7 linked regions of the Sus scrofa genome follow. The protein of the gene in region 2 binds, or shares a complex with, the protein of the main gene of each other region. Links are inferred from orthologs where the notes say so. Each region holds a gene or a part of one and is shown on either strand. Other genes may lie near its edges.

Region 1 (4,564 bases), on a different chromosome or scaffold from region 2:
GAAGACAGGGAATAGAGCAGTTCACCTTACCTGAATAGGAAGAGATTAGGTAGAAGAAAACAGTTAGCAAATGAGAAAAAAAGTAGGTCGTAGCAAAAGTGTGGAGGGCATTCAATAAAAATTTTTAAAAATGTGAACTTTACGGAGTATACAAAATAAAGCTTATGAGCAATGAATAATATGATGAAAGAATTTTAGAAAGATGAATTTAATGAGAGTGTACAGGAAAAAGAGAAACCAATTAGGAAGTTTCAGATATGAATTAAGATCCCAAACCAATATAATAACAATAGCAACAAATAGAAGAAACATTATTAAAAAAAAGAATTGATCAAAACTGGGTAACTAAAAGAAACTGTGAGTACAGAGCTATAAGAATACTATCTTCCTCATTGTGCTGAGTGTAAGATCCAACCTACCTTAAATACCAATTCCCCTTTGATTCTTTATAAATATTTCTAGAACCTAAAATTGACACTTTCCCCATTAGCATTGTGTCAACATCAGATATCACTTATGTTTCCTGCACCAGAGAAAACAGGATGAGACTGTTACCAACATGTTCAAATTAAAAAACGAGTAACACTCCCTCAATCTGAAAAATATGTCACCAAAAAAGAAGAAACACCAAAGTGGGAAGAGGAATACGGTAAGTATAGTTTAAATACCATAGCTTTATTTTTTTTAACTACGTGAATGAAAAATAAGCCCCTCCATAGGAATGTATTTTTACATTATACTATTCATTTTACCATATGAGAAGGAGTTTCTAAAAAGATATGCTACAAGTACTATTCAATTTTATTAAAAGCACTTAATGGTAAATGTTTAAAATGATTTCATATTTCCAAAACCAAATTAAAATATTTATAAATATATTTTTAATCAACTGTCAATATGCAAATCATTTTAACAGATAGAGGTCGAGTATATTACCTTTAATTCATGGTAATCTATTGCTTCATCTTTGTCCGTGTCAAATAGTTCAAAAGCATCTTTAATTTCTTGTTTCTGTTCTTCAGAGAGTTCTCTTCTTTTTTTCCTTTTTGTTTTGTCTACTACAAGCTCATTTCTATGAAATGAAGACAGAAAACCCTATTTATTGCACTTTAATCCCATTCTCCTATGCTTCTAAATGACTCAAATAAGAATCCAAAAATACAAAAAATTAGCCAATTAATAAATACCTAAATTTCTAAAAAGGAAGTATTTTCCTTACATGAAAGGAAGAGATTTTCCTTACATGAGTCAAAGCCCTGCTCTTCCCATCGACTAAGGTGCTATAAACTTGTGCTTCCTAAAACTGAAAAGTGTTAAGTTATTAAAGAAATGAGGACCTTACTTCCCTTCCTCCTGGCTTTTTATTTATTTCCACTAATATTACTATGGAAGAAACAAGAAATGTGAATAAGAAACATTAGTTTTATATCAGAACCCCCCCAAAAAAACAAAGCACCCATAGTTACTCGTTTTACAATGTCTGTTAAAAAAAAAAAAAAGAATTCACAATTGATGATCACTACATATTAGGCTTACTTTTATAGTGTTAATAACTATCAAAATTACTACAAAAAGACATCTAACTCATCAATTAACATAAACTCTTTTGGCATTGTGGATCAAAAGTGTTTTTAGATTACACATTTTTAAGTTTGGCATTTTATTTGCAATTTCTCCCACTGATATTATTAACAATCACCCAAAAAACTTAGCCTAAGCATACTATTAAACACCAGAAAAGTACATATTTGTGCTAACGCTATATAATAATGTGGAGTCAACTGTCTTGTAAATCTCACTTAACATATACATTTGGATTTAATTTTTCATAAACCCTGAAAAAGGCTGAAGAAAAAAAGGAATTTATTGTAAAAGCCAGAAATATCTTGAGATGTTCCAAATTTTCAAATAGGGTTGCAAGTTTGAAGCAGAAGAATTCTGTAAAACTTAGAAAATGTAAAAACCCAGTTGATTTTATTAGACACGTTATCTGTTTGCATTTTAAGTTGCTTTGTTCTCTGAAATCTACCACACACACACACACACACACACACAAAAGGCAAGAGATGACTAGAAAGTGACCAAAAGAGATATGATAAAGCTGAGGTAGATCTTGCTTTCACAGGAGACCCCACTTCACACAAGCCTGGACGTTCTGGGGGTCGGCCATTCTTTTCCCAAGATTTTGAGAGGACAAGTTCGCAAACCACCGACCACTGACCCCAGCCAAGGATACCACGATTATGCCTTATCAGAACTCGGTACCTTTTTAGTTAGGTGTAACTCTATAGGTATTTTTACGGTAACACGCCTAGTCGGAGTTGGGAAGTAGGCAACAAATGGTAGGTTAGTGGTTGGAAATGAGCGAAAAATAAACTCAGGGAATCTAAGAGATTACCAACTAAAAGCACTAAAATGGGTCTACTATTACATAGTGAAGCAAGGAGGGCTTTACGTTATTTCTAAAATCTACGGGTTAGATGTTAGCAGGAAGGGAGCTGCGGTGGAGGCCATAAGCGAAGGAATGACGGGAACTTTACTAAGGATGCTCCAAGGCCTGGTTTCCTAGTTCACATAAACAAGAGCGTAGAAACCTCGCGATATTTCACTGCCTCCTCGAGACTATAACAACCCAGGTTGTTGGGGTCCAAAGCCCAGTGGCCTGACAGAAATGACCGTCTAACTGCACGGAGCTCACCCGGGCCCCGAAGATGAGGAGTCTGGCCCAGGAAAGGTGGCCAAGGCTCCCTTCCCTCGTCCCAAACTGCATTCCCTTCCTTGCCTCGCCCCAAGCTGCCTCCCTTCCACACACACCCACCCTGGGGCCCGCTGCGTGGTGTGGAGAGCATTGCCGCCTCCTCATTACCGACCTCAGAGCTAAACTCATTTTCTCTTCGGCCAGAGACTTTCCTCTCGAGAACGACTTTAACCCCCTACTCAAAGCCGAACGACTTCCACAAGCGGTTCAACAGACAACGACCTAAGCAGCCTCAAGACCTCCCACAAGGTAGACATTTCTGAGCTGGATTGGTTGAAATAGCTAATGCCTTGCCCATTAGGGCGGAAGCGTCACTAGTCCTCTTCTCTCATTGGGCATTTTTCGCGTCAATCAAAGAGCTCTCCCTTTCGGCTCTCTTGCTGCCCCTCCCGCCTTTTAGGTTGACCTGTAGCGTAGCCCCCACCCCCTCCAATCCTTTGCGGAGCGAGGGTCTGAGTGTCCGCTGGGCTTTTCGGACTGAGGGTGACTGACCAAAGCCTCAGGAGAGAAGGCCTGCGGCATGTGGACGACGTCTGGAAACGGCGCAGGAAGGGAAGAGACACCCCGCAGGTTGTCCTGCTAGGAGGAGGAAGTAGCTTGTGAATGAGATCTGCGAAATTTGGCTCCACTCTATTCTTAAATTTTGGATGATTTAAATACATGGGGAGTTTGTTTAAAACTCAGATTTAAGTGTCACTTTCCTTCATTCTGATTCTAGTAGATGTGAATCTGCCTTTTTTCTTTTTCCTTACAAAATCCAAATGATTCTGAGGCAGGAGCTGTTAATTATACCTTTATAATCACTGGGTTGAATTATTAGGCTATTTACGGTGAAGCTGTGCCTAGATGGCAATTGCTCCCCTATACCTCCTTTGAGGTGCTTTGGTACTTCACTACCGAACCAAGTCTCTTGAAGCTCACTGGGGTATTTAATGTGTTTACCTGTTCGTCTCTCCTACTAATCTTGAAGGCCGGGGTTTCATTTAACGCTATTCCTAAGGCCTAGTACAATGTCTGATGCAGAGGTGCTCAATAAATATTGCTGTATTGAATGGAATCTTGCTATGGAAACTCACAAAGTACTGAGCTAAACTGCAAATCTCATAAAATAGCCTGAGAGTGTCCAACAGGGGAAGGGGGAAGATATATATAGAAGGGAAAGAACACAGCAGGATAGAAGAAAGACTTCTTGAAGGAGATGGCATTTATGTTAGGCCTAGAAGTTTGAACTAAATTTAGATAAGTAAAGAATGTGTTGACTTAAAAAAAAAAAAAATGCACAACCTAAAAGTTAAGTTTTGTTTGGGGCAAAATCAGGTCTTAAGCCCAGGAGGAAACATCTGAAGTAACCCAGAAAAAAACATTCTGCAGCGGGAGTAGGGGGGAATAAGGATATAGAGGAAGTTTTTTATTGTCATTGGGGTTTTGGGTTTTTTTTTGTTGTTGTTGTTTTTTGAACAAAGGGCAGGTAGTAGGAACAAAAGATTACCGAAAACTAGGTATCTCAAGTTACAGAATTAAGCCCTTTTCTTTGGGAAGACCCAGAGGTCTGGCCTCACTAAAATCATTCCTTTGATATGCACTTTAGCTATCTGGGCCAGTATCCCGTGTTTTCACAGCCTAAATTTCCTCACACTTTGCTGTTAGGAGTGGCTGTAGTCTGATGGCTGCAAAGTGACAGGTATTCTTTCTTTCCTGAGTTCCCTCAGGGCTCAGCAGCTTAGCCTTGGAGGTGGCTGCATTCACACAGCTCTAATAAATATAGCCTCAGAGAGGAAAGGGGAAATACCAGGATATAACTGGTGA
Region 2 (4,019 bases):
TATTTAATATATGTTGTTGGAGTTCCCATCATGGCGCAGTGGTTAACGAATCCGACTCGGAACCATGAGGTGGCAGGTTCGATTCCTGGCCTTGCTCAGTGGGTTAAGGATCCAGTGTTGCCGTGAATTGTGGTGTAGGTTGCAGACACGACTCAGATCCTGTGTTGCTGTGGCTGTGCTTTAGGCTGGCAGTTACAGCTCCAATTAGACCCCTAGCCTGGGAACCTCTATGGCCGTAGGAGCGGCTCTAGAAAAGGCAAAAAGACCAAAAAAAAAAAAAAAAAAAGTATACATATATATATATATATATCTTGTTGATTCATTAGCATTGAACTCATGGCCAACAGCCCTGTAAACCTTGTCTGAATGAAGCTCATCTAACATGTATATTCTGACATGATACATGGCACGTTATAGCCTTCTTTGCACTTAGCACTGAGCGGCACTTCAGCACAACGCTTGGGGGCCCAACAAAACGCATGAAAATGTAAAAAATACGGCGCTAAATAGATCGCAAAAAAGATACTTATTTAGTGTGAGAGCTGATACCAGAAGGTGGAACTCCAGTTGTTCAGCCTCAGCTGGTAACGTGTGTATCAGGTGACTCACATTTGTTGCCCCTTTCTGGGCACATGTCCAGAAATGATGGTGAAAGCACCTCAGATATTGACTTGGGGGTTACAAATAAATTTCAGCAGGCAGCCGTCTGCACAGATACGGAATCTGACTGGAGAGGCTCAGTGGTAATAATGTTGATTGTATATGTGCATGTATGTATGTATTTGAACTCAGAGTTTTATGAACCAGTACTTTATTTGATGCACTTGGAATTTTTTATTTTATTGTGCTTATTTTTAAAAAGTTACAACCTCAGTGGGTTACATGTGTGGTTTGAGAAGCATGGTACAGGTTCAAACTGTGAGACTCAATGAATCCGATTACCTCGGGAGCTTCTCCAGGGCTAGAAAGCCAGAGTCTGGGCTTAGGGGACTGGCTTCTGAGCCTGCCGTGAACGTGTGTGTCCTTGGGTGTCCTCCAGGTGACCATCCTGGTGCTGCAGGGCCGGCTGGACGAGGCCCGGCAGATGCTCTCCAAGGAAGCCGACGCCAGCCCCACCTCTGCAGGCATGTGCCGCGTCCTGGGGGACCTGATGAGGACAATGCCCGTTCTCAGCGTATGTGGGAGCGGCTGGCCTCTCCCGGGTCCTGGAGATGGGGTCCTGCAATGAGAATAAGGGGTCGTGTGCTGACGGGCTCGCTCTGTGTCTCTTGCCGTAGCCTGGTAACACTCAGACGTTGACCGAGCTGGAGCTGAAGTGGCAGCACTGGCACGAGGAGTGCGAGCGGCACCTCCAAGATGGCACATTCGCCTCCAGTCCTCACCTCGAGTCTCTTTGCAAGGTCTGTGGGAAGCAAGTCCAGGTCGGGGCCCAAGCTGGCTTTCCCTGGGGACCGCAGCATCCAGCGCAGCAGCGGCAGGAACTTGGTCCTTGGACAGGGCTGTCAGCTGCGTCTGGAAGGAGAGAGCTTTCAAAGCTGGTGCTGCAGCCGAGATCAGGAGGTGATGTAGCAGTCTCGCCCAGAGCTAAGGAGTCGTGTCTCTCTTCTCAGATCATGCTGGGAGACGAAGCTGCCCTGTTGGAGCAAAAGGAGCTTCTGAGTAACTGGTACCATTTCCTAGTGACCCGGCTCCTGTACTCTTGTCCCACAGTGAAACCCATGGACCTGCACTGCTATGCCCAGGTGAGCCTGCGCTCCCCGGAGTGCGCCTGGGGCATAGGAACCCTGAGGTGCCGCCCCGCCCCCGCTGGGTCATTTTCACCCCTTGGCCTCTTGGAGTTGAACCCCCCTGGAGAACAGGAAGGGGCTTTCCTTGGGCGCTTTTTGCAGGACCCCGTCACCCTTCCCCAGGGTGCCTTACCCAGCAGCCCTGCCTGCCCCCTTGAGTCTCTGCTGGCATCTGGGGATTGAATGGGTCACCCCCTTTCCACAGTCCAGCCTGGACCTGTTTCTGGGAGGTGAGAGCAGCGCAGAACCCTTGGACAACATCTTGTTGGCAGCCTTCGAGTTCGACATCCACCAAGTGATAAAGGAGTGCAGGTAGGCCCTGCTGCCGCCGCCGGCGGTACGGTCCGCGCGGGACCGCCCTCGCAGCCGTCCTCGCCTCCAGTGCCTCTGCTTGCTGGTGTCTCAGCTTTCTTCCCACAGACCTGCTGCCCCTGTGCAGCCACATGTGGGCAGGTCATGGCTTCTCTCTGGAGAGCTTGGGGCCCTTCCTGAGGCTTGACGGCTCTTGTATTTGTAACAGTTTCCATTTCAGGGATGTTTACTTAACATAACGTTGCAGGAAATTCCTTTGATATTTAAAACCTAGAATTAACAGACACTAAGCGGATTCTTGGAACCCAACGAACATGCAATCACCGTAAGGGACGGAGCTCTCAACAGTCTCACTCTCTGGTGAGCCAGGGTACCACACCTTCGGCCCTTGATTGGGTCTGTTCAGAGCAGGGATTCTGCATCAGCCCGCTCCCCAAAAGGGTATCTTGTCATTACACTGAACCTTCAGCAAGGCAGGAAAGGAGTGTGAAATGTGATCCAAGGTAGAGCTTTCCAGAAATTTGCACGTTGTAATAAGTCAGAATTTACCTTCCCGGAGTTCCTGTCGTGGCGCAGTGGTGAACGAATCCGACTAGGAACCATGAGGTTGCGGGTTCGGTCCCTGCCCTTGCTCAGTGGGTTAAGGATCTGGCGTTGCCGTGAGCTGTGGTGTAGGTTGCAGACGCGGCTCGGATCCCGCGTTGCTGTGGCTCTGGCGTAGGCCGGTGGCTGCAGCTCCGATTCAACCCCTAGCCTGGGAACCTCCATATGCCGTGGGAGTGGCCCAAGAAATAGCAAAAAAAGACAAAAAAAAAAAGAATTTACCTTCCCTTGTGCAGTCTGGAGAGTGGCGTTGCACCAGTGACGCCCAGAAGAAAGCTAGGAACGCAGCAGGTGGCCTTGCTCACGTATCAACTCATTGACCTTGACTGAACCTACTTTTTTTGGTAAATCAGGGCAATGGGAAGGGTTCCCCACCTGCTGCCATCTCTTCCTGTTTTGGCCAAAAGAGAGCCAGGGCTTCAAGAAAATGCTCTTAGATTTGGAGAAAGGAAAACGGGTTTTGTGTCAGCGTTCTTTTCAGAGACTTACAGAGACTTTAGTTGGTGCCTGAAGACAACTTCAAGAGTTTGGCTGATGGCGGTGGGGGTGGGGGTGGCATCTGCCTGGAGCGGGTAGTGACAGTAACTTAGAAAGGCACACACGTCATTATTTCACTTTGTCAGTGTCTCTGCCTATAGTTTAAAGCAACAGTCTTGCCCGACGCTTGTCTGTTAGTGGCAGTGGGTTATTTCCTCCTGGGCCTCCTTCCTAAGCCACATACGGCTTTTAAGGAACAAAACAGAGTTGAAAAGAACGAGGAGAAGAATAATAAAAAGGGAAGGTACTTCGTTCTTTTCAGTGGCAACAGAAGGAAAAGCTAGAGAAGTGTCAACAGAGAGGGTGGCTTTTGTGAATCCACAGGTTACGGCATCACTCCAACGCCAGTCGCAAAGGAGGAAAGGTCGGCTTGTAGCCCCTCAGTCTGGGCGCCTCTCTGCCCCGGCAAGTAGGACAGGGTCTGAAGCTTCTGTTGGCACTGCATCTAGGAGCTTGGGCTTACCTGAGCAGGAAGCCATCTCCTAGCCCATTTCGAAGGAGGCCCTGAAAAGCGCGTCGCGGGACCTCATCCCACGGTTTGGAAGCAGGGCCGAAGTCTCTTCGGAGGGTGTTAGAGGCGGAAGGACTGGATTTGGGGTCTTGTGGGCATGTGCTTTCTCTTGGGTTGTGCCGGTCAGGCCCGAGCTGGGCCCGGAGGGGAGGGGGCACGTCTCTTTGGAGCTGGGCCAGTGCGTTGGTGGGACGGGGCGGCCTGGCTGATGCAGATGTGATGTCAGCTGGGGTCACGGCTACCCTGTGACAGCGGAGTGAGGGCGCTCC
Region 3 (4,800 bases), on a different chromosome or scaffold from region 2:
GGAGTCAAGTTAGATGAATTCATAAATGAAACAAAAATGTGACTAAATAATAGGCTTTTATAATGCTACCTGAATAGACAATTGTAGTCCCCCGCACACACACACACACTACAAGATGCTGCTTCTTATAATAGCTTGCCTCCCGAAAAGTTATTTGAAAACCCAGCCATCCTTTGCCACACATGTATCACCTGAGCTCGAAGATCATCTTGACCAGGGAGACGCCTAAAACCTAAAATAGTAAGTAAAACTATCCGTGAGGCAGCAGCGCCCATACGTTTGCCACACTATTGAAAAAGAAATTAAATGGTCACTAGAGGGACAAGAGAATGCTAGTTTTCCTCCAAAGCATTAGAGAAAACATAACACGGAAAAGCCACACAGGGCTCCAGGCTGACACATCACACACCTGCAGCTCCTCGTCAGTGAGGTTCTCGCCCAACTCCTTGGCCACGCGTTTTAGATTCTTGAACGATATCTTCCCAGTTTCATCGTCATCGAAGAGCTTGAAAGCTTTCAGGATTTCTTCTTTGGTATCCTTCTCAGACTTAACAAGTAGAACATAAAAAACACATGAGTAAAGAGACTCATAATTACCTGTGTCCCACAACCCTAGCACCATCCCCTCTGCCCTGCCACAACAGCACCACATGGCCTCATGACATTGGTGCTAGGTCACAGAAGATCAAAAATCAACCAGCGTAGAGAGAGGGGACAAACATGAAATTGGTACAATCCCAGAGGCTAAGAAGGAAATATAAAGGCTTGCACTTAAAACATTTTCTATACAAATGGAAGAGAAAAGTAGACTGCTTTTTAAAATACAGCAGCAGGAGTTCCCGTCGTGGCGCAGTGGTTAACGAATCCGACTAGGAACCATGAGGTTGCGGGTTCGGTCCCTGCCCTTGCTCAGTGGGTTAACGATCCGGCGTTGCCGTGAGCTGTGGTGTAGGTTGCAGACGCGGCTCGGATGCCACGTTGCTGTGGCTCTGGTGTAGGCCGGTGGCTACAGCTCCGATTCAACCCCTAGCCTGGGAACCTCCATATGCCGCGGGAGCGGCCCAAGAAATAGCAACAACAACAACAACAACAACAAAAGACAAAAAAATAAATAAATAAATAAAATACAGCAGCAGATGATGGGATTAAGTTTAGAGGAAATTCCACTGCTTAAGCTGGGATCCTCTTGGGGGCAGAGGGGAGCAGGGAGGAAAGAGAAGGCGATTTCACTTATGAGAGCACCAAGAGTTACTAGAATCCCAGGTACTCTGACAGAGGAAAAGAGGAAAAGCTTCCTGAACTCTTAACTTAGTCCCTGAAGAAAAATATGGGTGTGATTAGATGATTTCAAAGCAACAGGATTATTAGAGTGGGAAGAGACCTGTGCCTTGGGAAGCACAGCTGAAGCACTGATGGAGCTACTTTTCCACGGGCCAGTAGAATGTACATGAGCCACACTGAGGAGGAGCCAGGAGGCCAATGAAAGAGAAAGGGACCAATGGGTGAAAAGACACTTTCATATCTAGACTCAAATCTGTCCACCATTATTGGTGGAAAATACACCCATCATCTTAGCTAACCTACCATTTTCTGAGTCATCACAGTTAAAAAGTCACTGAAGTTCATTTTTCCTGTCCCTTCCTTATCGATTTCACTTATCATTTTCTTGATCTCTTCTTTCTTGGGTTCAAAGCCCAGTGCCCTCATTGCCACCTGCAATGAAAACAGGATCATCTCAATATGTACATCTAAACCCAGGGGCAAAAAATGACAGCATTGAGAGCATTAAGCCAGTATCTGACACAATCATGTTAAAATAATTAGGAAACACTATAACATTAAGCAAATTGATATTTGCACTCAATTTTGTTTAATAATACTTGAGGTAAATAAAGACAGAAAAACAGCACAGAAGAGAAAGAGGCAGAGAAAAGTCAAGGCAGCAGAGCAGGAATGTACAGGGCTTGCCTTAAGTTCTTTAACATCTATTGTCCCAGTTCCATCAGCATCAAAGAGATCAAAAGCTTCTCGGATTTCCTGTTTCTGCTCTTCAGTAAGCTCTGGTTTAGGGCTCATCCTTTTTCGCTGGGCAGCAGATGCCACGTTTGTCTTCTTAAAGTTAGAGGCCTTTATATGTTTCACAAACAGAGAAGCACGGTATTATGTAATAGGGTACATATTTTACATAAATATGTTACAATCCTATCTACTTTTAAAATAGTTTATACCAACGAATTCCAAAACTAACAGGAGAAATAACAGCGTTTAGTGAAAAGAGCAAATACTCTTTCTCTGCACCTCTATCCCTCCCTCTTCTTTACTACTGTTTCTAGAAGGAGATCCTTTGTTCTTTTGGATATCTCTTATTTGAAATCATCTAAAAAGAGAGCTGGCCAAGGAGCTGACTCTGGATAAATGTACAGATAATCAGCTCTCTCTGAATTTGGGACCCTAAATCTAAAAATGTCCTTAGAACGCTATTCTGCTTCGCTCTAAGTTATAAGATTTTCTGATTACTTCTAATTTGGCCAAATACTAAGTTAAGATGTATATTCTGTCAATATCGAATAATAAAACTCAATCCCCTCGGCACATCTGAGCCTTCCCCAAGAAGGTCAAAGCGTTTCCGAAGTCCCAATATTTAACATTTTAAATGCACATTAACAATCAAACACAATAAACTTCCCCTAGGCTCTGGGTAGAAACTTTGGTAGAGGCGGCCAGGAGGCCAGAGTCTGGAAGTGGTCGGGGTGTGCGAAGAGCCCGAGTCTGTTTTGACCAGAGGTGGTCACCGAAGGAGCCAGGGGAGCCCGAAGGACGGATAGGGGCCAGCTGTGGCTTGAATGGGACGCAGCGGCTAATCGCAGGCCCAGCAGGGCGGCCAGGATCTCTACCCTACCCTTCCGGGAAGCGCTCAGAGGAAAGAGTGCGCCAAAGCCGAGAACCGCGCAGGAGAGACGGCGGGGCCAGGCCAAGGCCTGTGAAGGGCTCAGCTTCTGGACACAGGGTTCGAAAGGGTAACAAGCACTCACCATCGCCGATGGACTCCGCTTCCCGTTGTTACGGCAACGGACGTACACACCGACTCGGCGCCCTTCCCACCGCCCCCTGCGCGCGGCCTTGCACCCCATTGGAGGACAGATGACTGCAGCTCCCCATTGGCACAGTGCTGGAGTGGGTGGGACTAACCCGACGGAGGCCTGACGCAGGGCGCAGGGCATTGTGGCGCGGCCTGGCCTTATTGGGCAGGATTACACCGCGAGCGCTGATTGGCCGAGCCAGCACCAATCCCTTTGGTGGAGGCGCCTCGGCTGATAGTAGCCTCATAAGGGTGGGGAGAAACAGGTGGTTGCTGGCGCCTGGAGCTCTGAGGCTGTAGGCTACCGATGCGCTGAGGCCGGCCAGGGAGGCACCTACCAACAGGTAAGGGTTGCGACCTCGCTCTTGGGTTGGCGATAGGACTGGAAAGGCAAGGAATTGGGTGGGGCCTTTCGCGGGGCTCGAAAAGGTAACAAGCCCTCACCCGGTCGGGGACTTTCTGGTCTGGACTAAGACTGAGTTAGGGTCAGAGGGGCCAGAGAAGACCGTGACCTTGCGTGTTGGAGCAGAGGATGTATTTACGGGGCAACTGAGACGGAGAAGGAAAGGCAGAGGCCGGGCGTTATCACAGAAATTCGGACGTCTGGGACTTAGAAGCTGAATTCATCCACCTGAGGCTCTTTCTTTGGGCGTGTCCGTCCCACCCCAAATAGATAACAAGATAGGATCACTTTAGTTCTCACCTGGCTAAAAGCAGCTCGGGAAGATGAGCTGGGGGCCTAGGAACGGCCTTTGAAGGGAGTGAAGGAGATTTGAGTGAGCATAAAGGGGACAGATCATCAAAATATACTCATTTTGACAACCAAACACTCAAGGCGGATAGTGAGGAGTATTCCAGGTGGGGACACTTCATGAGCAAAGTCACAGAGCCGTTTTGGAAAGGTGAGGCTTGCTCAGAGAATTACAAGGGGGCGTGTGCCACGGTAACAGATGAAAGGGAGCTGGAACAGTGGCCCTGGAAGTCCAAGGTCTGCCTTCCTTAGCCAGCCCAGTGTAAGGGCACTTCTTGCCTCTCAGCCCTTACCTGCTTCACCTCTGGGCATTGGCACAGCATTTTGGGAAGCAGGGGACAGAGCATAAGTTTCTCAGGCTGAAGAAAGCCTGAGATTTATTGACATTCATTAAGCGAAAATGTTTGCCGAACTTCTGCCCTTTACCCTCTTCCTCTTTGAGCACAAGCCGAGTCCAAAACCTTTTGGTCCTATTTGACTCTTCCTGCCCTGGCCCCACTAACTAGCCTCCACTTTCTGTCAGCTTCCTCCTTAAAGGGTGTTTCTTTTCTCTTTTCCACCTCTGTTGCTCCTGTCCCACTTCACGCCTTCAGCAGCAGCCCCCCTGTGGGTACAAGCCAGAGCTCTCACCATGCTCTGCAAGGCCCATCCCAACATGCTTCCTCCTCTCCCCTGGCTGCTCCAGCCCCAGGACACTAGCTTCCTTGATGGACTCAAATGCACGGACACACTCCTGCCTTCAAACTTTTGTTCCAACCATCTCTTCTGCCTGTTTGTTCTACTTGTTTCCTTCTTCCAGGTCTTTGCTCCACTGTCACCTTCTCAGTGAGCCACCCTAAGCATCCTATTTAGCCCTGCATCTCCCAGAACACCCAAACCCTACACCTTTCTCTGTTTTTATCCCCTAGTACTTATAACTGTATCCTTATTTATTTTGTTCTTCTTTGCCCATCCACTAGAAGGGAAGCCA
Region 4 (4,019 bases), on a different chromosome or scaffold from region 2:
GTATAGGCCTGCAGTTATAGCTCTGATTCGACCCCTAGCCTGGGAACTTCCATATGCCACAGATGTGGCCCTAAAATGTAAAAAAATAAAATAACCACCTGTCTTCTACACGTCTCCTCCTTTATAATTAAAATCAACTACTTATTTTATGGAAATTTCAATCTTTTCTCTTTTTTTTTTCTTTCTTTCTTTTTTGGCTATGCCCACAGCATGTGGAAGTTCCTGGACAAAGGACTGAATCTAAGCCATGGCAGTAACTCAAACCTCAGGAATGACTCGAACCATAGCAGTGACAATGAATCCTTAACCACTAGGCCACCAGGGAACTCCCAATTCTTTCGCTCTTTCTGCAACTCTCCAGCTTACAGCCCCTGCTAACAACTTCCCACTGCAGTCAGAACAGCTCACCATTGCAATTTTCATGGCCTGCAAGCCTATGATCTGACTCTGGCTCTGTCCTTGTCTTCCTTTACTCTCCCCCTCATTCTCGATGGTCTCTTATCCTTCAGCATGTCTTTCTTCTTACCTCAAGCTGTCTGCTCTCCCTGGAACATCCCACCCCAACAATTCTGGTATCTTGTCATCACGCAGGTGTCAAGACAAAAGTCCTAGTCTCAGATAGGCTGTCCCGAAGTACCCCACGTACAGCTGCCCCCTACTAGCCCACATCTCTCTACATCCCCCTGCCTTGTTTTATTTTCTTCCTAGAACTCAGTATTATTGAAATAATCTTATTCTTTATTTGAATCAACCCCTCAAAAAAAATTCCAAAAAAGAAGTAATACTACCTTCTTACTCATTATATGACAATAAATACTTTCTACTATAAAACTTCAGAGATGCAGCCAGTTATTTTTTCCTAAGCAACAACCACGGAGAAGCCTATCTTGAAACAGTTAAAGTTCCTTTAACAACTCTGCTAACTAAAACCTTCCGATTGGTCGAAGATAAACAAAAGGAAATATTTTGAATAAGCTACATCCTTAGAAACCATTTTAGAATCTAAATGATATAATACTTCAAATTACAAGTGAATAAACATTTTATATTTATGTATTACCTTAACATAGGTTCATTAAGTGTCAACCTACCAGCAAGAAGAAGTTCAACAGCTGCCAATTCTCCAATATCAAAAAGGTCACTGAGGATAAAGGCCTCTTTAATGAGCTGTTCAGGAAGAAGTCGGGTTCCCTGTTGACCCTGGATGGCAACTCCCTCTGTACTGGCTTTCTGAACCTTCTCATGTTGTTGAACATTTTTTGGCTACAACAATGAAAATAAATAGAATGAATAAATAGAATCATGCAATGAAAAGTGCATATTAGAGACAAGGTACTAAATTGTTACTGGAGGAGTTTCCCGTGTAGCTCAGTAGAAACGAACCCGACTAGTATCCATGAGGATATGGGTTCGATCCCGGGCTCCACTTAGTGGGCTAAGGATCTGGCATTGCTGTGAGCTGTGGTGTAACTTGCAGATATGGCTGGGATCTGGTGTTGTGGTGGCTGTGACATAGGCTGGCAGCTGCAACTCCTAGCCTGGAAGCTTCCATATGCCACACCTGTGACCTTAAAAAAAAAAAAAGGTTACTGGAGAAGTTTATTCATAAAGCAGCCTGATATCATGACAAACAGGAATATTTCTTGTGCAATAATATTGTAGAAAACCTACAAGTACATTGTGGTAACATTCTACCTTCAGTTTCTTTTTTTTTTTTTTTTGGTTGCATCCACAGCATATGCAAGTGCTCTGGCCAGGAACTGAACCTGTGCCACAGTTGCAACCTGCATCACAGCTGTGGCGACATCAGATCCTTAACCTGTGCACCACAAGGGAACTTCCTAACTTTTTATATTACTATGACTTTCTCAGTAACCGCTTCTCCTAAACTCTGAACTACAAAATGTTGAGAAATCACACAAACTAGCCTACTGTTTTTCAAGTATCTAAGGAATTTTCCAATTATATCTTTAATAAATATAAAAACAACAAAGTCTTCAAGTGGGAAACAACAAATGGAAATGAAATGTTGAATTAATTAGTAGGGCTGATAATAGCTTATTAGTACGTTATTTAAAAATGTAGTCTTATTTGCAAAAAGGCTTACTTTGTGCAAATATTTAATAAATAACATATAAAATAGAATACCAGATGGATCATAAAAGCTTTAGGTATTTATACCTTGAAAAAGGGCATTCAGTTATTTAATCCAACTCCTCTATTAACAGAAGGGAAAAACTGATGCTCAGATAAGTCAGGTGACTTGCCTGTGGTTATACAACTCTTTAGTGGTAGAGTCGAGACAAGAACTCAGCTCAACTGTCTCTCAAGCTAAGGTTCTTTCTGGTAAGACAAATTCATAAATAGTTCTTAGAGAGTCTTGTTAGTGTATAAAAAACAAAGCTGCCAAACAGCGGGGAAAGGAGTTTCCAAATACAAATCCCAGCCAGTGAAGTACTCAACTCCTGGCTGAAATGTATGTCAAAATGCAGTGATTAATGGTATGTAAGAATTAATTAGTTCAGCTAACACAACTTACATAACATTATGAAGAGTTAAAATGTTGAAGTATACCTGGAAATAAATAAAATAATCAATCTTACTAAGCTTAGTTGGATTAACTGTAAGTCAGAAATTCCAATGAGGCTCTTATTTCTGGAATATACTGAACTTTCTAAATCATATTCAGACATTATTAAGATATCTCCTCGCTAGAGATAAATACAATTTTAATTTATATGGAGAACCAAAAAAAGATAATAATTGCTAAGAAAAATTCCATTTTTAGAAAAAATTTGAATCAACACACTAGAACAAGTAAGATATGTCATTTACATGCATTAAGAATTCCCTTGCTCCATTAGTCTTAAAAAGAAAAAAGAAAAGAAAAAGCAAATCCAAGAAGCATAAAAAGAAATTTTCCTACTGGATTTCTGAACAATGAGATGAAGTCAGGTTTGTGCTTCTTCAGAATCATGTCAAGAAGGTGGACGGCTTCAGGTTGTCTTCTCCAAAGAGCATTTCCCACGGTTTGCCAAATGTCTTTGTAAGGACCCCACAGACTAGCAGCTTAAAGAAAAAAATAAACCAGCATCAAATAAAACATGTATTTGGAAAATATGATAAGGTTATCGTCTGCACATTTTAGTCATGCTCACAGCGACTTTAAAACATAAAGAGTTCTATAGACAAATCAAACATTAATTTAAAAGAATATCAGGGCATTCCCGTTGTGGCTCAGCAGTAATGAACCCAGCTGGTATCAGTGAGGACGAAGGTTGGTTCCCTGGCCCCACTCAATGGATTAAGGAACAGGCTTTGCCTTGAGCTGTGGTGTGGGTCACAGACAGGGCTCAGATCCCCTGTTGCTATGGCTGTGGCCTAGGCTGGCAGCTGCAGCCCCGATTCGACCCCTAGCCTGGGAACTTCCATGTTGGAGGCACAGCCCTAAAAAGCAAAAAAGCAAAAAAGAATATCAGAATCCACAAGCAACAATATCAAGTCACCTAACTTAAAGTAAATCCTGACTTTAAACTAGAACATCAGGGGTTCCCGTCGTGGCGCAGTGGTTAACGAATCTGACTAGGAACCACGAGGTTGTGGGTTCTATCCCTGGCTTGCTCAGTGGGTTAAAGATCTGGCGTTGCCGTAAGCTGTGGTGTGGGCCGAAGACGCGGCTCGGATCCCGCATTGCTGTGGCTGTGGTGTAGGCTGGTGGCTACAGCTCCAATTAGACCCCTAGCCTGGGAACCTCCATATGCCGCAGGAGGGGCTCAACAAAATGCAAAAAGACAAATAAAATAAAATAAACTAGAATGTCAGCTAAACCTGGTTTTGCCACTTTATTAGTTACTTGATATGGAGTGAGAAGATAACCTTTTTACATTTCAGTTTCCTTATACGTATAAAATAGGAACATCATTTGCTTCATAGGGTTGACTGGATTAAATGAGGTAAAAATACAATATAATGTCTGGCATATCCTAGGCACTCAATAAATGTAACTGCCTTTCCTTTCC
Region 5 (2,753 bases), on a different chromosome or scaffold from region 2:
CACGCCGTGGCTGCCGCCGTCTTCTTGTCAAAGGCGCTGTAGCCCGCGTAGCGAAATGTGCGTCTCACCGCGTAGTCGCTGGCGTCCGTTTGTGCTCTTGGGTCCAGAGGGTGTGATGCCTGTGGATCGAAGATCAGCCCTTCTTCCCTTTCTGCGCCCGGAGCACCTGGGCCGCATTCGGGCGGGGTCGGGCTGAGTCTCTGTCCCCACGTGTTGGCTCCTGACCGACAGGTCTGTGTCAAAGATGCTGCTGCCCATTGGAAACAGCTGTGAACAGCAATCCTAGAGAGTCGGTTTTGGTTAAAAGTATCCGTTTCCACATCTTTCAGTCCACAGTTGTAATGCTCAAGGTGCCACGGAAATCTGTTTACAGAGCGAGAAATCTCAGGTGTGCTTGCCTTTACTTGTAATTTCCCCTAAACCCGAGTCCCCGCTGAGAAGCAGGTTCAGCGCAGACGCGCACCCACATAAAAAACAGACACACGCATATAGATACTCAAACATACACACACTTGATTCTGAGGGTCAGCGCCGCCCACCAGCTCCAGGGAGGAGAACCTCAAGTGAGCCCACCCCACAGCCCCTCCCTACACAAATGAGGCGACCTCACTGGGAAAAACACAGGAAGGCAGATAGCAGCCACTGGCAGCGATTCTAAGTTGCAACCTGTGTGCTAACTTGTCCTGGCAGTGCTACACTGAGTAGTCAGATGAGTACATCTCCCCCTTGTGTCGAATTGTGACTCTAGCCGTTTCCAAGTTTTCAATGTCTACCCAACTTGAAAAGTCATGTCCTTGGGAACTCTGGAATTTACATGGCACTTTTGAGTTTACAGATCTCTAATTATCCTCATTTGATTCCAAAATGAACAAACAACTAGATGCACAATGAATTTTTTAAATGCCATGGCTGTTAACAATTGTCACTTTATTTTTGCTACAAAAATTCACCAGAAAAAGGTACTGCAACAATCTAGTATAAAGCAAATCTTTAACCAAAGAACATGGTATAGACCTTTTTAAAATATGCATACTTTATCACAATAACTGCAAGGAAAAATTCAAGTTCTCTCAGAACCAAGTGCAGTTTGAGGTAGCAGAAACAGATGACAAAGATTTTTTTCTAAAAATGTAAATAATCAACTTGTTTAAAATGTAAAAATTAATTTAATACCTTGGAAGCTTCATATCTTTTTTAAGGAAAGAAGTTACTTTGCTTAAAAGTTAATTTAACTATACAGGATGTGCAAGAATTTATAGAAGAGCACTTTGGTTAAGTTTCTACCCTCTGTGGCTCCATCCATTCACAAGTGAATCTCTATTCATAAATGAGCACACCAATAGTTAAAATTACAAAATATATTCCAAATCTAAAGGAAAAATTATCCAAGTCATGGTCCCTTTATTCAAACAGTAAGTATATTCATGCAGGAAGTCCAATATCATAAAAGGAATTAAAATTAAATTGCATATATATCCTTCAATAGTTTGAGAAGGTCTATTGCTTTGAACAAAATAAGTATTATTCCACTTTAATACAGATGTCAGGAGTACATAAACACAAGTACACCTGAAATACACCAGTGTTTAAACGTTTATTTCACACCATGCAAGGTCAATTATAACACATTAAAAAGCGACAACAGCTATAAGCTGCAATTTTACATTTATACATTGGAAACGTCCATTTTCAAAAGCTGAACATAATTACCATATTGTCATAACAGCTAGGCTTTAATTCAACGGTTTATACAAGAAAAATTTACTGAAACAATGATTTTACTGTATCTGTCCACATTCTACGATAGTAATTCTTCGACTAACTGACCCTTTAGGAGAACCAAATGATTCAATCTTTTTCACAGTATCCATGCCATCCTTAACAAAGCCAAATACTACATGCTTAAAGTCCAAATGTTCTGCTTTTTTCAGTGTTATGAAAAATTGAGAATTGTTGGTATTCTGGCCTCGATTGGCCATTGACAGTAAGCCAGGACCAGTATGTTTCACATCAAAGTTTTCATCTTCAAATTTATCTCCATAAATGGACCGTCCTCCCGATCCATCATGTTTGGTGATGTCTCCCCCCTGAAAAGAGATTTCAATTAACAAGAATCCCAAAGACACTGTTAAAATGCATAAAGAACTAACCACTGAAGGACAGGTGTTAAACACCCAGCTTCGCTGCGAACCTAAGCTTTGTTAGTTTGAAAACTGAGCACCGTGCATTTATGAAGGAGGATAAAAATGGAAGAGATCTTTTCCCACCTCAATTTCTGGCAGGTTCAAGGCATTTAGAAATATGAACCCTTTTAGACTGAATGTTCTGCTGGGACAGAAGCTGGGGTAGGGACACCAACTGCTGTGTGGAAAAGGGAAGGAAGTCTGGAAAAACTGAGAAACACTCAAGTTGCCCAGGTAGGTGTGCTGTCCCTTTCTAGACCCCCACTGTGAGGTGCACTGAAGACTTACTTGGCAAACAAAATCTGGGATCACTCTGTGGAAGATGGAGTGCTTGTAACCGAAGCCCTTCTCTCCAGTGCACAGTGCTCTGAAGTTCTCAGCGGTCTGAGGAACAACGTTTGAAAATAATTCCATGGTTATGCGTCCTAGAGGTTGATCATCTGCACAAACATCAAAAAACACCACAGGATTTGTCTCCTTTGATAACTCTGCTGTTAGTGATGTTTGTCCTTTCTGATGTTTCAACAAATTCTGTTGACATTCTTCAAAGGTTTTCTTAAAACAATCAGC
Region 6 (4,019 bases), on a different chromosome or scaffold from region 2:
GCAGTCTACGAGCTGCCTCCCTGGACCCCACACTCGTCCTTCCACGGGCGCCACCGCTCTCGCTTCGGGAGGAGCAGCAGGCTGGGAAGGCTGGGCAAACGCACGCGAGGTGGCGCCCGGGAAAGGCTGACTGGGAGGCGCTTGGGCTGCGGGCCCGCCCAGAGCCAGCTCACCTCTCCCAGCATGTTGAGGGCCACGTTGACGGTGGCCAGGAGCGTCCCGAAGGAGGGGGCCACGTCCGAGTCGAAGGTGGGGGTGGTGAAGCTCAGGGAGAAGAGGAGGTTGTACTCCGCCAGGTCCAGGGACTGCAAGGCGAGACGAGAGCCGTCGAGGCCCTGCCGGAGCCCGGGCAGCTCTCGGCGCCGCGCGGGGCACGGCCGCGCCTCAGCGGCGCACTGGGGCCACTACCTGGTCCAGCAGGATCTGGCAGACGTCGGGGGTGAAGTGGCGCAGGGCTGCCAGGGTCCTGCTGAGGATCTTGAGGAGGCCGTACTGGACCGCGTGCAAGGCGCGCTGCTCCGCGGCCTCTGTGTCGGGCGTGGGCTGCTTGGAGGAGGAGGAGGAGGAGCAGGAAGGGGCAGCCGTGGGGGGCCGCTGGGCCCGGGGAGCAACGGCCGAGGGGAGGCCCTCCCCATTTTTGTTCTGCAGGGAGGAGACAAGAGCTGGAGCCCAGAGAAGCCAGGGGTGAGGCGGTCCAGGCGGCAGTGGCGGGTGGGGCTGGGTTACCTGCAGGTAGTGCTGTAGCATCTTGCGGCTATGCAGGAGGCAGGTGCAGGCCTGGCACAGGTAGCCCAGGTTTACCTACAGCAAACCCAGGGGAGGGCTGAGAGGGTCCTCGTGGCAGCAGCCCAGCCAACTGACCAGACCACCCAAGCCGGGCTCCACGTGCCAAGCACGTGCTTCTCCGCTCCCAGAGCACCTACAGTGCTCACCTCCCTACCTTCCCAGGCTCAAAATCACCACTGCTGCCAAGCGTGCTCACGTGCTAACTCTGGCTCAACAGAGGCCTGGACCGACTCCCTGGGACCCAGATGCATGTCGGACACAGTCTAAGGTCCCAAGTGAATAAATAAGGTGGGGGTGACTTTCCCATCTTACAGAAGAAACAGGCTTAGAGAGCGGTGAGGTGACCTGGCCAAGGTCACACAACCAGCAAACGCCAGGCTGTGTTCTTCCCCTGCCCTCTCTGGCTGATTCCCAGCTATGGGAATCTACGGGACAGAGCCCAGGTTCTCAGCCTAGGAGGCTGCCCTTCCGGAGGAAGCAACGTGAAACCAAACCCTGTGCTACCTGGGCAAAAAGCCCACACTCCAGGAACAGGCCCGCCTTTCCCTCAGCGCCCCGCCCCCGAGTGTGTCCCCAGACCCGCCGGGGGATGGCGGCGGAGGCCCACCTGGACGTCCCGCATGAGCTGGGGCAGGTGGAAGTGCCACTCCTTCATGAAGCTGGACAGCTGCAGGATGAAGCCCACAGTGTGGTCCGCCTCCTCCAGGCAGGCCAGACTCTGCACAGTCCTCACCGCGTTGAGGCACTGGGACAGGGGGACACAGGGAGAGACCAGGTGACACAGGGACCAGCCGCACCTGCTCCTGCCCTCAGACGCTGAGGTGGTGGCACCCGGTGGCATGGCGTTATGACTAAGGTTTCTGACCAAGAGGTTCCAGCTGAGCTGATCCCAGCCCATGCCCCGCACTTGGCAGGTTGGCCTGGGGCAGCCGGCACTCCGTACAGCATCCTTGACCCCAGCCTCAGCCCTGAACAGCCCCGACCCCCGAGACGCGGGCAGCCTCTCACCTGTAGGGTGCGCTCCTGGTGGACCCCCACGAAGTCCAGGGCCTCGGTCAGGAAGTTGTAGCGCAACGTCTTGAGGAGCCGCTCCATCAGAGACATGGACAGGCGGTAGACACCCGGCCACGAGGGGGCATCCAGGGACTTCCGAGAGGCGCTGGGCGTCTGAGACACAACGGCAGGCACGATGGTGGCAGGTGCCAAGGAGCCCAGCCGAGAGGGACAGGAGGGCCTCCCTGCAGGCCAGCAGCTAAGGCAGCCTGGCTTCCAGGAGGGGGAAACCTCCTGGAAGGGGCACCGGCGGGGCCGGCGAGGGTCTGGAGGTGGCAGTGACAAGGGAACAGCACTAGACAGAGCCACAGGAATCCCAGGTTCTGGACGTGGGTCCGACCCTCCTAGCTGTGACTGCTCTCGCTAGAGACCGCTGAGCGGGCAGGGAGGATTCTGAACCACGGCGCCTTCACTAGGCCGCTAAGGAAAGCAACCCGGGAGCTGGGGAAGGGCGTTGGCAGGCCACTGGCTCTCACCTGTGCTGTCCCATTGGTGCTGAGCTGGTACACACTCAGGAGGGGCAGACAGATGCTCTGGGTGATGCCGGCTCCGGCCACTGCTGTGGCTCCCTGGGAAGGAAAGAGGCGGAATGGGACGGAAGCTGTGCCCATCCAGGGACAGGGGGCAGGCCCAGGCTGGGAGGGTCACAGGCAGTGTCAGAAGCCACGCGGCACAAGCGAAGAGGCTCCCTGCTGCCCTGGGGCTTGCCTCCTACCTGCTGGGTGCGAGCCAGGGTGAGGAGCAGGTGCAGCGCAGCCTCGGTGAAGTGCAGGTTCTGCTTCATGCGAAGGCTCACCTCCAGGGTGGTGAAGAGGGTAGGCAGGATGGGGAGCCTTCGGGTCACCTGCAGCCACGAGTCACCGTCCTCATCCACCTCGCAGAGCTCCTTGGCCAGGTGCAGGCCCAGGACACACACCTGCTGGAGCCCAGAGACAAAGATGAGCAAAAGGGAAGGAAGTGGTGCGGGGGAAGGCGGGAAGAGACGCGGGCAGACCTCGTGTGGGCACCTGCACCTCGGGGTCAGCCACACCTCAGGGAGCCTGTGGAGACCGGACCCTCTCAGCCGCACTCCCTCCCCGCACCCAAACTGCCACTGCCCGATTCAGCTGCCACCCAGAGTGAAAACGACCTCCCCTCCTGCTGCGCTCCTCCCTGCCTGAGTGGTCCTTCTGTCTAGTCCTGGATCCCTCTGCCCCAACTCTTCACCCCAGGGGCTTTTCACTTCTCTCGACCTTCACCCGCCCGGAGCAGCGGGCACTCTGCACAGTGCGCTCCAGCGCACACACACCTGCGTGTTTTCATCACACTGTACCTCCCCTTACCTCCTGCAAAGCTTACACAGATTTTCTTTGATGTTTTATTCTACTTTACTAAAAAGTTGCTGGTTGTAACCAAACTGAGATATTAGTAGGTCTTAACCTGCCCGGTTGAAAAAACACTGTTCTACATACCACACCCAGCGCACTCTCTCTCAAGGGCTAATCTTAAACTCCTCAGATCCTCTCCTGGTCCTCGGAGGACCCGGGTCAAAGGCGCCGACGAGGCCGCTGGTCGTCCCTGCCCCGCTCTCAGGCCTCCCTTCGGCCTGGCTGGCTCCAGGCGACCATGAGCTCAGCACGTGCTAGTCTTGCTGCCTGAATCTTCCTTGTGCCTTCGGCCTGCCCGGCTCTACCAATGCTTCAGGTCACTGCCCAGAGGGCGCCTTCTCTCTGAGTCCCTAGATCAGGCGGCACCTCCACACTGCACCTTTTCCCTGTGTTTCACCCCTGCTAGACTTGCCAGGATGGACTCCCGACGCTCCTCTGCACAATCTGATTGACCAGCTTCCTCCGCCAGGCTGTGACCTCCGCAAGCGCAGTGCCTATCTGTCTTATTCACTAATCCCCCCAGGGCCTGGCACAGAGTGGGCAGCAACTCATCTTTGTGGAAGCAGGTGGGAAGGACAGCCAGCTTCCCAGGGCGGTCCCTCACCCCGTCACGCTGGTCCTTGTGCCGGGGCCGGGAGCAGTCATCAGTTTCCATGCTGTCCTTGTCCTCTGCAGCACTGCCCGATGCCAGGCTGTGGCGGGTCTGGTCGAAGAGTGCAATTACTTCTTCCTGGAGGGTCTCGCAGACGTTCAGCACCAGCTGGGAGTACTGGGGGATGTCACTCACTGCAAGCAGACAGGGAGGGGCGCGGT
Region 7 (4,698 bases), on a different chromosome or scaffold from region 2:
TCAATTGTGAGGGTGGAGCCCTCACGAAAAAGGGATTGGTGCCCTATTAAAAAAAGACCCTACAGGGAGTTTCCATCATGGCTCAGTGGGTTAAGAGTCTGACTAGTACCCATGAGAGTGCAGGTTCAATCCCTGACCTTGCTCAGTGGGTTTAAGGACCCACTTTATCCCATGAGCTGTGGTGCAGGTCGCAGATGCAGCTTGGATGTGGCACTGTTGCGGCTGTGGCGTAGGCCAGCAGCTGCAGCTCCAATTGGACCGCTAACTTGGGAACTTCCATATGCCACAGGTGCAACCATAAAAAAGCAAAAACAAACCAACAACAAAAAAAATCCCCACAATTTAAGGACACGGCACAAGAGATGGCTGTCTATAAATCAGGAAGCTGACTCTCACCTGACGCTGAATCTGCTGGTCTCTTGATTTTGGACTTCCCAGGCTCCAAAACTGTGTGCAGTACGTGTTAGCTGTTTAAGCCACCCAGCATATAGTATTTTGTGAAACAAGAAGAAACAAAATGTAAGTGGTGTTTAGGAACAGTTAGAGTGTATTTGTAAAATGGAGAGGCAGGGAGAACAACAGCAAAATAAGATCAACTGGAGTTGTTTCCATTATCTAAGAATGAAATGTGGAAGACTGTTGAGGAAAAGTATGAATGTAAAGGAAAGACAAGAGAATGTTCCTGATATCTATTGCTGGCTAACAAATTACCCCAAACTTAGTGACTTTTGACTCTCTCACCAGACATCTCTCACTTTAAGTAACTTGAGAGCCCTTCCATGTGGTCTCTCCCCATGATTCCTCCAGGATGGCAACCCCAGGATAGCTGAATTTATTAGATGGCTTCCCTCCTAGTTAGCACTCCAAGAGAGAAACAGACTCTGTTAAGGCTAGTCTGGGAGTTTCTGTCCTGGTGCAGCGGAAGCAAATATGAGCAGGAACCATGTGGTTTCCGGTTAGGTCCCTGGCCTCGCTCAGTGGGTTGAGGATCTGGCGTTCCCATGAGCTGTGGTGTCGCAGAGGCGGCTCGGATCTGGTGTTGCTGTGGCGGTGGCATAGGCTGGCGGCTACAGCTCCGATTGGACCCCTTGCCTGGGAACCTGCATGTGCCGTGGGTACGGCCCTAAAAAGGACAAAAGACCCAAAAAAAAAAAAAAAATTAAAAGGCTAATCTGGCACAGAGTCACTTCTGCTGTGTTCAATGAGTTACAGCAGTTACAGAGCCCTCCCAGATTCCAGAGGAAGGGACAAAGACCCACCTCCTGATGGGAAAAAGTCAAAGAATTTGTGGTCGTCTTTAATCTGTCATGTTGATACATGAGATTTAGACTAACTTTCCCCTTGAAGACTGGCATTTTCCTCCAAATCCAGCATCTACTCTGCCCTAAATGCAGGTAAAGCACAAGACCTTCCAAACAGATCACAAATGGAAGATAAAGGAAATTTCTTTCACGTATGCAAGTGAGTAGCATTTAGGGGCTTCAAGCAGGTAACTGCATCAATGTTTAATTAAACACATTATGCTTCATTATACAAGAACACACGAATACAGTCTCTCGAAAAAACCCAACACAAAAGGCCACTCTGCCCTTCACTCCGCCCCCAACCCACGTCGCTGAAAGGTGAAGAAAAGGAGACCAGGCGGAGATTCACTGAGTAACACGGGGAAGCAAGGAGAGGCGATCAAAAGCTCGAAATCCAGTAGATGGCGCCCATCTGCGTGGCCTCCTAGGACCTCGCCCCTCCCTGGAGGCTCTGCCCAGCCGCTGCCCGCGCCGGAGTTTTTAAAATGGAAACAAACCCGGCTCCGCCCCCTTCCCTGAGGCCGCCGGGAAAATGGCACCGCCCCTTGGGGCTTCCTCGCCGGACACGCAAAGGTTCCTGCAGGTAGATCCTGCAAGCTCCCCCTGCCTCCTCTCATCTGGCTTCCTCCTTGCCCACCCTGTCTCCGGCCAGCTCGGTGGAAGCCTCACAACGGTGGGTCGGACAGGCCCTAGACCTTTCCGGGTTTCTTCACCTGTCCGCATCTGTGCTTGCTCCGCCCCCGGAAGTGACGACAGCCGCCCGGCTGGGCTGGTGTCCCGTCAGGCCTCGCGGCGGCGGCGGCGGGAAGATGGCGGCGGCGGGAGCCATGGAACGGAGCTTCGTAGAGCTCAGCGGAGCTGAGCGCGAAAGGCCAAGGCACTTTCGGGAATTCGCAGTTTGCGACATTGGTACGGAAGCATCCAGTAGGGCTCGATGCAGCTCCTGCCCTCGGGATCTTCCCGTGGATCCCTAAATCTCTGTCCTCCAGTTCATCCTCCTGAGCCCACATGCCTCCAGCCCCGGATTCAGAGCTTCATTAGTGTTCTACTTCTTTCTCTTTTTTTCCCCTTTTTGCATGGATTTTCAGTCTGTCACCCTCTGCTTTCTCAGCGCCCTCAGTCCGTGTCATCCCCTGAGAACCACGTGTGCAAGGGTGACCACTCTTCTTTTGCAGGAACTGCAAATGCAGTGGCCGGAGCTGTGAAATACAGTGAGAGCGCGGGAGGCTTCTACTACGTGGAAAGTGGCAAGTTGTTCTCCGTCACCAGAAACAGGTTCATTCATTGGTAAGTGCTGTGTTTGTCAAATCTCCCGAAAGGGCGTTTTGTTCGGCGGCTGAATTTTCGTGACTGTTCCCAAGGTGTCGTTTATTCTCCGAAGTGGTTATAGACAGGAAAAGAGAAAGACTGTTTCCTATTGATATCTGAGTCAGTGGAAAATTAAGCAGGCACAGAGTTCTGGAAGAGGTGCCCTCCCTGGCAGCACTAAAAAGAAGAAATGTAGCTTCGAGGGTAAAGCCCCAAAGATCAGTTCTAAGCATGAAGCCGTTATATTTTTATAGTGCTTTAAGCTTCCTTCATTCTACAAATTAGTCTTGAGTTTTTACATGTCAAGCACTGCTAGGTGTTCTAGGAGTGCAGGGATGAACAAAAACAGTCTCCATTTTCATCCTGCAAGATATAGTAGTGTAAGAATAGATGTGGACACATCTTTCATGGGGCAGTTTTGAGAAGGAAAAAGACATTAAGCTGGAGTTCCCTTGTGGTGCGACAGGTTAAGGATCTGGCATTGTCACTGCAACAGCCCAAGTTGCTGCTGTGACACAGATTCTTTCCCTGGCCGGGGATCTTCTACATGCCTCAGGTGTGACCCCCAAAACGCCATTAAGCTAATGACCCCACATAAGTATGTAAATGAAGTTTTTCATACTTCCCTCAGAGGAAAAGTATGAGAAGCTAATGGGAAAATCAGATGTAATTGGCGTGTCTGGGAAGGCCTGAAGTAAGTCACATTTCATCTGAAGGAGGAAAGGTTAGCTAGGCATGGAGTTGGGAGAGAGAGCAGTTTAGCAAGTGGGATCACCAAATGGAGAGTCCACAAGGTGGAAAGAACTTGACAAATTTGAAGAACTGACTGAAGCTCTGTGCGGCATAAGTGCATTGGGCAAAATGGAAAGTGATATGAGTGATGCTGAGACTAGGGAGGTAAGCAGGACTCCGATCAAGAAGAACCCTCAGGTCCTTTTCAGGGATTTGGGATTTTTATCCTAAGTACATTGAGCAGTCATTGGAGAGTCTTAAAGTGTTACTAACATGGTCAAAGTCACACTTTAAAATAATCAGTCTACTTTGTGGAAAGTAGACTTGGATTGGATGGGTACAGTATGAAAGAAGAATTTGCTTTCATGGTGAACCAAGTAAGATATGCTGGTTGTGGGATTGGCTAGGGAAAGAGAATTAGATGGACTCAAGATACACGTGGAGTTCCTGACAGGCCCCCGGGTTCCCATGTGGCTTAGCAGGTTAAGTATCCAGCAGTTGTCACTGCTGTGGTGTGGGTTCATTCCCTGGCTCGGGAACATCCACATGCCTTGGGCGCAGCCAAAAGAAAAAAAAAAAGATACACTTAGAAAGTAGCTTCAGGAGTTCCCGTCGTGGTGCAGTGGTTAACGAATCCGACTAGGAACCATGAGGTTGAGGGTTCGGTCCCTGCCCTTGCTCAGTGGGTTAACGATCCAGCGTTGCCGTGAGCTGTGGTGTAGGTTGCAGACGCGGCTCGGATCCTGCGTTGCTGTGGCTCTGGTGTATGCCGGGGACTACAGCTCCGATTCGACCCCTAGCCTGGGAACCTCCATATGCCGCGGGAGCGGCCCAAAGAAATAGCAAAAAGACAAAAAAAAAAAAAAAAAAAAAGAAAGTAGCTTCATTAGGACCTGGTAGTGGACTGAATATGGGGTACAGAATGGTGAGGGAAAAAGGGAGCAAGGACAACTCCCTGGTTTCCCATATGACTAACCAGATACTGACATATGGAATATGGGTTTGGGAGAGATGTAAATAATTCTTTTAGGAGTTCCCGTCGTGGCACAGTGGTTAACGAATCCGACTAGGAACCATGAGGTTGCGGGTTCGGTCCCTGCCCTTGCTCAGTGGGTTAACGATCCGGCGTTGCCGTGAGCTGTGGTGTAGGTTACAGACGCGGCTCGGATCCCACGTTGCTGTGGCTCTGGCGTAGGCCGGTGGCTACAGCTCCAATTGCACCCCTAGCCTGGGAACCTCCATATGCAGTGGGAGCGGCCCAAGAAATAACAAAAAGACCAAAAAAAAAATAATAATAATAATTCTTTTAGACATACTATTGAAGTATCTGTGTAGTAGCTGTTTGACAATGTCC

The links.
Region 1: NUP85 (region 2) and CETN3 share a complex: the UniProt entries of both Homo sapiens proteins name them as parts of the nuclear pore complex. The link is inferred for Sus scrofa from reciprocal best matches to the Homo sapiens genes NUP85 and CETN3.
Region 3: NUP85 (region 2) and CETN2 share a complex: the UniProt entries of both Homo sapiens proteins name them as parts of the nuclear pore complex. The link is inferred for Sus scrofa from reciprocal best matches to the Homo sapiens genes NUP85 and CETN2.
Region 4: the proteins of NUP85 (region 2) and NUP205 are in contact, whole or in part, in a cryo-EM structure (PDB 7TDZ), measured with the Xenopus laevis proteins. The link is inferred for Sus scrofa from reciprocal best matches to the Homo sapiens genes NUP85 and NUP205. Residues at the interface, in XP_041431608.1 of Xenopus laevis: Ala86, Glu87, Glu88, Ala89, Ser90, Gly91, Lys92, Ser93, Arg94, Lys95, Pro156, Pro239, Met240, Gly245, Thr246, Gln247, Thr248, Leu249, Thr250, Glu251, Phe252, Glu253, Leu254, Lys255, Trp256, Gln257, His258, Trp259, Pro315; in XP_041443600.1 of Xenopus laevis: Glu1477, Cys1480, Arg1481, Cys1484, Asp1485, Ser1517, Gly1518, Tyr1519, Leu1520, Lys1521, Val1522, Val1524, Asp1525, Ser1574, Gly1575, Gln1582, Gln1638, Gly1641, Gln1642, Gln1645, Val1648, Leu1690, Asp1691, Ile1692, Gly1693, Leu1694, Asn1695, Asp1696, Gly1697, Ser1698.
Region 5: NUP85 (region 2) and E3 SUMO-protein ligase RanBP2 share a complex: the UniProt entries of both Homo sapiens proteins name them as parts of the nuclear pore complex. The link is inferred for Sus scrofa from reciprocal best matches to the Homo sapiens genes NUP85 and RANBP2.
Region 6: NUP85 (region 2) and NUP188 share a complex: the UniProt entries of both Homo sapiens proteins name them as parts of the nuclear pore complex. The link is inferred for Sus scrofa from reciprocal best matches to the Homo sapiens genes NUP85 and NUP188.
Region 7: NUP85 (region 2) and NUP160 share a complex: the UniProt entries of both Homo sapiens proteins name them as parts of the nuclear pore complex. The link is inferred for Sus scrofa from reciprocal best matches to the Homo sapiens genes NUP85 and NUP160.

What each region holds. Positions count from the first base shown.
Region 1 is NC_010444.4:97,590,312-97,594,875, forward strand, and holds the start of CETN3 (centrin-3), read right to left. Parts: upstream 3,010-4,564; 5' UTR 2,888-3,009; coding exon 2,871-2,887; intron 1,073-2,870; coding exon 937-1,072; intron 1-936. UniProt on the Homo sapiens protein: Plays a fundamental role in microtubule-organizing center structure and function. As a component of the TREX-2 complex, involved in the export of mRNAs to the cytoplasm through the nuclear pores.
Region 2 is NC_010454.4:6,083,153-6,087,171, reverse strand, and holds part of NUP85 (nuclear pore complex protein Nup85), read left to right. Parts: intron 1-1,039; coding exon 1,040-1,174; intron 1,175-1,277; coding exon 1,278-1,400; intron 1,401-1,610; coding exon 1,611-1,742; intron 1,743-1,992; coding exon 1,993-2,099; intron 2,100-4,019. UniProt on the Homo sapiens protein: Essential component of the nuclear pore complex (NPC) that seems to be required for NPC assembly and maintenance. As part of the NPC Nup107-160 subcomplex plays a role in RNA export and in tethering NUP96/Nup98 and NUP153 to the nucleus.
Region 3 is NC_010461.5:123,902,862-123,907,661, forward strand, and holds the start of CETN2 (centrin-2), read right to left. Parts: upstream 3,186-4,800; 5' UTR 3,132-3,185; coding exon 3,033-3,131; intron 2,128-3,032; coding exon 1,969-2,127; intron 1,714-1,968; coding exon 1,585-1,713; intron 548-1,584; coding exon 410-547; intron 1-409. UniProt on the Homo sapiens protein: Plays a fundamental role in microtubule organizing center structure and function. Required for centriole duplication and correct spindle formation. Has a role in regulating cytokinesis and genome stability via cooperation with CALM1 and CCP110.
Region 4 is NC_010460.4:13,767,321-13,771,339, forward strand, and holds part of NUP205 (nuclear pore complex protein Nup205), read right to left. Parts: intron 3,070-4,019; coding exon 2,927-3,069; intron 2,575-2,926; exon of another isoform or gene 2,540-2,574; intron 1,264-2,539; coding exon 1,092-1,263; intron 1-1,091. UniProt on the Homo sapiens protein: Plays a role in the nuclear pore complex (NPC) assembly and/or maintenance. May anchor NUP62 and other nucleoporins, but not NUP153 and TPR, to the NPC.
Region 5 is NC_010445.4:47,530,470-47,533,222, forward strand, and holds the end of E3 SUMO-protein ligase RanBP2, read right to left. Parts: coding exon 2,472-2,753; intron 2,088-2,471; coding exon 1,779-2,087; 3' UTR 893-1,778; downstream 1-892. UniProt on the Homo sapiens protein: E3 SUMO-protein ligase which facilitates SUMO1 and SUMO2 conjugation by UBE2I. Involved in transport factor (Ran-GTP, karyopherin)-mediated protein import via the F-G repeat-containing domain which acts as a docking site for substrates.
Region 6 is NC_010443.5:269,307,784-269,311,802, reverse strand, and holds part of NUP188 (nucleoporin NUP188 homolog), read right to left. Parts: intron 3,993-4,019; coding exon 3,811-3,992; intron 2,759-3,810; coding exon 2,555-2,758; intron 2,409-2,554; coding exon 2,316-2,408; intron 1,954-2,315; coding exon 1,795-1,953; intron 1,532-1,794; coding exon 1,394-1,531; intron 802-1,393; coding exon 409-801; intron 306-408; coding exon 174-305; intron 1-173. UniProt on the Homo sapiens protein: Component of the nuclear pore complex (NPC), a complex required for the trafficking across the nuclear envelope. Required for proper protein transport into the nucleus.
Region 7 is NC_010444.4:14,838,601-14,843,298, forward strand, and holds the start of NUP160 (nuclear pore complex protein Nup160), read left to right. Parts: upstream 1-1,455; coding exon 1,456-1,461; intron 1,462-1,891; coding exon 1,892-2,213; intron 2,214-2,479; coding exon 2,480-2,591; intron 2,592-4,698. UniProt on the Homo sapiens protein: Functions as a component of the nuclear pore complex (NPC). Involved in poly(A)+ RNA transport.